2 linked regions of the Cricetulus griseus genome follow. The protein of the gene in region 2 purifies or fractionates together with the protein of the main gene of each other region. This does not show direct contact. Links are inferred from orthologs where the notes say so. Each region holds a gene or a part of one and is shown on either strand. Other genes may lie near its edges.

Region 1 (3,691 bases), on a different chromosome or scaffold from region 2:
GCAGCTCCCCACCCTCCATCCCCCATAGGGTTTGTGCCAACCTCTACTCATTACCTGGAGAGAGAAAGCTATATAGATGGCGACAGAGCCAGTGACCGTGCCTAAGCCTAGGAAGGTACCGGATTCACTGTAACAAATAAGAGTATTCGTTGTTCTGGAAGCTTATGCAGAAACCTTCTCACCCAACAGTGGTCCTCAAGAGACTGAGTCAGGACTCACTCCTGAGCTCCCTCAAGCACCCTCCTTTCCAGTTAAGCAACAATATCTCACACCTGACACTGAGGCAGGAGATGACTTCATGGCCACAGGGCCTGGTCCGAAGAGGCAAGAATGTGGAACTGTCCCAGGCTGTGAGGTAGCAGGGTGGGGGCTGACGCAGGCGCTTGTGGGGGATCTGCACTGTGAAGAGTCGCAGCCCCCCAGGTTGATCTGGAACCTTCCCAAACCTGGAAGCCGGGCAAAAGGTTTGTGCCTTCCTATATCCTGGTCACACTTGAAACCACCTCCAACATGGCTACAGCCACCCCCAGTTCCCCTCAGTCTCTTCCCACTTCCCCACTACAGCTGGGGTGTGTCTCTTCCAGCCATGCTCTGTGACCTTCATACCTGCAGGCCTGGTAGCGGTATGGTGTGTCAGAAGAGGCGGGTCCATTCTCTTGCCACTGTAGCTGTGTCACTAGTTGCTCCTTCTGCCACACAGAGGCCTTTAAGTCCCAGCCTACAGTCACCAACTGGGCAGGGGTAAAGATTCCAAATATGGACAGTTAGGACATCTACTTATGAGGCAAGCAGCACAAGAGCCCCCCTTTTCTGTACCAGTACCCCATACCCCCACCTCCTTACCTTGCCATCAGGACCCAAAGCCAAATCTCCAATCTCTCCTTCATGTGCTTTGAAATCCAGAACTTTCTCCAGGCTAGGTACCTACAGCCAAGCCAGCATCACAGTTTAGACCAGACGTAGCAAGAAAACTGCAATCTCCATCTCTCTTACCCCAATGGCCACTCATAAGTTTCCCAGAGTGCATATTCAGTCTCTCACAGTTTTGGAGTTATTGCAACTGACTTCCCTCTCCCTTAGGCCCCTAAAACCATACCTTCCAGACACGAACATGGCCATCAGTCCCTCCAGTAGCAAGCAGGGTATTATCGTGGTTGAAGCACACAACTTTCTGCAGTGGTTCAGTGCTAAAGTCTGTCTGTACTGCCTCCAAATTTTTTACTTTGAGTTCTACCCCTTCAGGGTGTACTTCTGCTCCAGATTTCTTCTCTGCTGGAGCTGCCCCCTTCCTTTGTCGAGGTCCCTGCTCCTTGGAACCTACAACACAATTTTCCAGGGTCCAGACTTCATTTGTTTTGTTTTTCAAGACAGGGTCTCTCTTTGTAACAGTCCTGGCTGTCCTGGAACTCGCTTTGTAGACCAGGCTGGCCTCAAATTCACAGAGATCTGCCTGCCTCTGCCTCCCAAGTGCTGATTTCTTTGGGGTTTCTTGTTATTGTGGTTGTTGCTTTTTAAAGACAGTGACAGAACTTACTATGTTCCCCAAGCTAGCTCTAAATATCCTCTTGCCTCCACTCCTAAGAAAGGAGATTGCACCACCACAACCTAGCAGAATCCAGGCTTCTGTATTAACTAGTATTAGTCCTTCTGTACTGACAGTACGGAGAGTGTTTTGGCGCTACTGAGACCCTACACCTAATCTCTCCTCTTTAGAGACCACGATTAGAGTGATTTTTCCAACGCTCCTCACCTGACTTCTCTGTTTTATTGCGCTTCTGTTGATGGACATGAAAACGTAGAAGCTGACATCGGGCATCCTGTCCGGCAGCAAGGATGTCACCAGCCAGTGCCAAGTTCATAGTGGCCCGTGTCTCTGTGTCATGAGAGTGTAGCAAGGAGGCGCTCAGGCAGCCATTGATTTGCTCTAGCTGCAGAAAGTGCTGGGAGGGAACCAACGTGGGCAAAGTTCAGGCGAGCCCGGAAGTCACATCAAGTCCTAGACTTAGTCGTTTAAGTCCTGTCTTAGTTGTATCCCTTGGCTTCCCGCGCCTCCATCTCATGGGGTTTGTTGTTGTTGCTGTTGTTAGAGCTTTATTTTCTTATTGGAGCTCTCCAATTAGTACAGCAAGTAGGGCTTAGATTACTAAATCCAGTTTACAGAAAGCAAGGAATCCAGGCTCGAGCTGCTTGAAGGCACATAAGACAGTGTGCCTTCCTGGAAAAGGCCAGAAAAGCAGCCCTGGACCAGCTCCCGCGGTCCTGCCTTCGCAGACCCGCACAGTTTCCAGGCTGTTATTTGGACGCCTTAACCACTCTTCTAAGGTGAAACCAGCACCCAGGCGTCTACGCCGGGTTTTCCCACTAGAAACAGGCAGGGCTTAAAGTAGGGGTACGACTCAGCCCTGCATCCCCTCCGCCCCGCCCCCGTCACCCCAGAATCGCCCTCGGGCACGGCACGCCACGGCACGGCACAGCACGACCCGTTCCCAGTTGCCCAGAGTTCTCACCACACCATTCTTGATGCCGGTCTTGGCGGCTCCTCCTCCGCCCGCAGCAATGAGCAGCCCGTTCTTGGGGTCCACCTGGAGCGCGTACAACGGGAACGGGGCCCGGTACAGCTCCACACCCCGGCGCCTGCCCATCCCGCACGCGCGTTCACTGCCAGCCCCGCGGAACCCACGACATGCCGCGCCCTGCCTTCGACCGCTGCCGAACTTGGTACCGCCGTCGCCGGGAAGCCTGAGGACCCCGCTCAGCCCCGCGGGCTCGCCACCCCTCAAACCACCGCAGGTATCCGATCTGCGCTCGCGCGGCTGGAGCTCACTGACGCGCAGTGCGCACGCGCAGCGCTCCTCGGCTCTCTCCGCGCAAGCGCAGGACGCCAATCCGCGTCAGCACTAGCGGGACGCGCTGCCACGGAACCCTGGCAGCGGATCCGGTTCCTCGACCCGAATGACGGCCGATCTGCCATCTTTGTGTGGGGCGTGGGACGTGGGGCTGTAAGAGATTACTGAAGAACAGTAAACTTTGAATTAATAAGTTCTCCAATTGGGGCGGTCCCCACCTCCGGAGATGCTGCACGGACTCGTAGAAGAGAGGACCTTTACGTGTTACTCCGGAGAGGAAGTGTTTTCTCCCTGGGCACAGCGAGGCTTCAAATCATATTCACCGCGTTCTAATAATCCTAATATAAAGAAATCGCTCCCTCCGCCGCGGATTGACACCCAGCTCTGCAACAGAGAAGTTACGGGTGACAGTGGCTCCCCGACAGGTGTATTCTGTGTTGATCTGTGCCTGGTATCTCACCCCCGCCCTTTTAAAGATTGTTCCCTCCTTTCTCCCCGCCTCTCCCGCGTGCGTGCTTCTTGCAGGTGCCCACTGGAACTCGGGTTACAGTCGTGAGTTGCCATGTGGGTGCTGAGAATTGAACCCGAATCCTTTGGAAGAGCAGCCAGGGCTCTTAACCCCTCAGCCATCTCTCCAGTCCCCCTCCCCCCCGCCAATCCCCGCTACCATGGTGGAGGTTCCACCCAAGCCCCCTTCCCTATCTCCCTCCAAACCCCGCCGCAACTCAGAAAGCCCGCCAAATGACGGCCCCTCCCCCAGAGAGGTTCAAGACTCCTCCCACGGGGTATTTAAACTGCCCTCCAGAAAAAAGACTCGAGGTTTTCCGGGTCTCTCTTTCCCGTCT
Region 2 (3,748 bases):
GTTTGATTGGCTTTTTTTTTGGAAATGTACAAACCTTATCTCGGAGAGAGCAGATTTCCAAGGGTAAACAAACCAGCAAGCAATCGTATTTCTGTTCTAGGACTTTGGAAGCAAAGGTACTTTAGCTTGTTGGGGGTGGTGGGGGGATGGATATGTGTCGATTCTGTCCGGCACCAGAGTGCAGTGTGCTTTGGGGACCCGGGGACCTTCAGATCTAGTCCCTTACGCAAAATTTCCCAATATAGGACTTTGATCTTTTAAAGCAACAACAACATTCAAATAACTCGATGTTCATAACTTACTTTTAAATGACTTATGCTCACTATGAAGGAGAATACATTCTGAAATCACATTTCTACCTACAGGGAGCCTCCTTCCACTTTCAGAAATACACGTGTAATCTTTGACTTTGTTTGTTTGTTTGTTTTTCAAGCCAGGGTTTCTCTGTGGCTTTGGAGGCTGTTCTGGAACTAGCTCTTGTAGACCAGGCTGGTCTCGAACTCACAGAGATCCGCCTGCCTCTGCCTCCCGAGTGCTGGGATTTTAAAATTACATTTCTTATTTACACACACTCCTCTCTGCCAGTCTCTCTCTCTCTCTCTCTCTCTCTCTCTCTCTCTCTCTCTCTCTCTCTCTCTCCCTCCCTCCCTCCCTCCCTCCCTCTCTTTCTCTCATGTGTGTATGAATCCGTTCTGCCCTTCTATCCAGGCAATAGTAAACTCAGGTCATCAGCCTTCACGGTGAATGCTTTTATTCACTGCCTTATTCACTCATTTTCTGGCTCTATACCTTCTCTTTTGAAGTTAGAATGTGCATGCAGTAAATATTTGGTTTTGTACATGCTGACTGACCTGCCTGAAGACAATGGTAGAGATTAACTACCTTTCTGTGGCAGCTTTAAAAGCTGTGGTGCCGAGCAAAGGTGCCTTCAAGTGAGTCAGTTTCACATGGGGCTACTTTATAAAACATTAGTCCAACTAAAAATCCCTGTTAATTATTAAGCCCTTCTGTATTATCTGGCTAACTGACACTGCAGGTTGAGACCAGAGAGTGTTAATTCCTGAAGCTACCAGTACACCGACAAGAAAATGTAACTACGGAGGAACTGAAAATTACTCAATCTCTTCCTCTTGTACAAACGAAGAGAGTATCTGCTGTTTTGCTGGCATGTCTGTGACCTAACAAGCATTTTAATGCTTGTTTAGGATTCCTGGTGTCTTGTTTAACCATGGTGGAAATTAGTGTTCGAAGAATCCTTCTTTTGGTTGTTTCTCTGGCCAAGTGTCTGGAAGGTACAAAGCTGCTGGCTCACCTCAAAAAGTGTGGTGACTTGGAATGTGAAAGTAAGTTTTCTTCTTCGTTTTCACACTGAGTTCTGAAATTACATTAAATGTTACTGTGAGCCTGTATGATGAAATCAACAATAATAATATTGAGAAATAGTTGAATTATAAACTATAGTTTGATATGAAAAAGGAATTCTAGAAGCAAAATATTTTGTGATAGCATTATTATAAATTTAACATAGAAGACAAAAATAAGACTCGTATAGAAATATGTCAGAAATGGTATTAATCCATGTATCAAAAACTAAATAAAAACTTTTTTTTTTAAAAGATAATTGAGTTGTTTAAGAAGATATCAGGCAGTTTGGTAATTCACTATTTATAAAATTTCTACATTTTAGTTCCTATTTCACAATCAGGACTTTCTGATTCTCATGAGTTTCCCTGAAAATGTTTTTATTTCAAACATCATGATCTAGTTGTCTAAATTTTATCAAATGCTAATCATTTGTGTTAATTTATTATATAAAAATGTTAAAATAAGTGTTCTAATATAGATATATATGATTTATAACATTCAATATTAAATGCTCTTGCATTTCTATGATGAGAAATTAATTTCTACTTTGTTGTTTAAGAACTTACATTTAAAATTTTTGCCGGGCGTTGGTGGCCTTTAATCCCAGCACTCTGGAGGCAGAGGCAGGCAGATCTCTGTGAGTTCGAGGCCAGCCTGGTCTCCAGAGTGAGTGCCAGGATAGTCTCCAAAGCTACACAGAGAAACCCTGTCTTGAAAAACCAATAAATAATAAATAAATAAATAAATAAATAAATTTTTATTTTGTATATGGGTATTTTGCCTACAGGTATGTATGTATGTATGTATGCATGTATGTATGTATGTATGCAGGTATTATACAATATATGTGCCTAGTGCTCACGGAATTCAAAAGAGGGTATTGGATTCCCGGGCACTTGAATTACAGACAGTTATGAATTACATGGCAGTTATGACCTGCCATGTGGCTGCAAGAGCAGTATGTACTCTTAACCACTCATCATCTCTCCAGCTCCAAGAACTTAATTTTTTCTTATCCACACGATGATGCAGAATAACGTTATCCTGCTGAGTACAGTGGCACACATCTTTAGCCCCAGCAATCAGGAGGCAGAATCCGGCAGATCTCTAGTCCCAGGCCAGCTTGATCTACATAGAGAGTTCTTCATTTCAAAATAAAAGAATAACAAAAAACAGAGAAGGAAAATATTGTATCTTTATCTTAGATGTTGAAAATAACTTTTGTCTTTCCCACATGAAAGCTATTTCTAATTTTGCAAAAAATGTAAATTAAAATACAAAGTATAATCATATAAAACAAAAAATTGCCAACAGATATACAGGAAAGATCTACTTACCTTTATTCTATGTGTATCAGTGTTTTGCCTGCATGCATGTAAAGGCACTGGGTGTGTGCTTGGTTCCCTCAGAGGCCAGAGAAAGTACTGAATCCACTGGCTGGAGTCACAGATGGACAGCCACAATTTGGGTGCTGGGAACTGAACCCAGGTGCTCTAGGAGAGCAGCCAGTGCTCCCATTTTCTCAGCCATGTCTCCAGCCCCAGTCATTTTTTTTTCCCCCAAGACAGGGTTTCTTTGTGTAGCCTTGGCTGTCCTGAAACTCACACTGTAGATCAGGCTGACGTCTAACTCAGAGACCCACCTGCTTCTGCCTCCCAAGTACTGGGGTTAAAGGCCTGAGCCACCACTGCCTGGCCCGTTAGTAATATTTTTATGAATAAAAAATTTTGTAGCCTTTCTCAGAAGTCATTTGAAACATGCTCACAACATCTTTCTTTTCTTTTCCTTCCCTCCTTCCTTCCTTCCCTTTTTCCTTGTTTTGTTTTTTGGAGACAGTTTCTATACATAGTCATGGGTGTCCTGGAACTCTCTGTGTACACCAGGTTGGCCTTAAACTCACAGAGATCTGCCTGTATCTGCCTCCCAAGTTGCCGGGATTAAAGGGTTGCATCTCCAGTCCCTACCAACTACATGGCATTTCATAATAAAGGCCCTTTAATTTTTCTCTAATAACTGCGTGCTACATTTAATAATGTTTTTATTTATCCTTTGGCAAATTTCATCCATTTATACAATGTGCTTTTGATCAAGTCTACCCCATATCTCATTTCCAACTCCTCCTGCAGCCTCTGCAACATCCTCTCTCCAAATTCTCTTTTTTGATTTTAAAAAGAAAGTTCTTAAAAATTTATCCATTTTATTTTATGTGTGAGTGTTTTGTCTGCATGTATTTCTGCATACCACTTGCATGCCTGGTGCTGACAGAGGTCAGAGGAGGGCATGAAACCCCCTGGAACTGGCGTTACAGATCCTTGAGAACCACCACGTGTTCCATACCATCAGAGCATGTGTAACCTTTCAGTGGCCACACCCCTGGAGAAAA

The links. Proteins that work in one complex are often made in the same cells at the same time.
Region 1: the proteins of melanoma inhibitory activity protein 2 (region 2) and Preb purify together in Homo sapiens (affinity purification with western blotting; 3 studies listed by BioGRID and IntAct, with this or other methods). This does not show direct contact. The link is inferred for Cricetulus griseus from reciprocal best matches to the Homo sapiens genes MIA2 and PREB.

Annotation. Positions count from the first base shown.
Region 1 is NC_048600.1:13,417,558-13,421,248, reverse strand, and holds the start of Preb (prolactin regulatory element-binding protein), read right to left. Parts: upstream 2,833-3,691; 5' UTR 2,643-2,832; coding exon 2,508-2,642; intron 1,941-2,507; coding exon 1,751-1,940; intron 1,318-1,750; coding exon 1,097-1,317; intron 925-1,096; coding exon 844-924; intron 732-843; coding exon 607-731; intron 447-606; coding exon 273-446; intron 128-272; coding exon 55-127; intron 1-54.
Region 2 is NC_048598.1:143,446,680-143,450,427, reverse strand, and holds the start of melanoma inhibitory activity protein 2, read left to right. Parts: upstream 1-1,213; 5' UTR 1,214-1,228; coding exon 1,229-1,343; intron 1,344-3,748. UniProt on the Homo sapiens protein: Plays a role in the transport of cargos that are too large to fit into COPII-coated vesicles and require specific mechanisms to be incorporated into membrane-bound carriers and exported from the endoplasmic reticulum.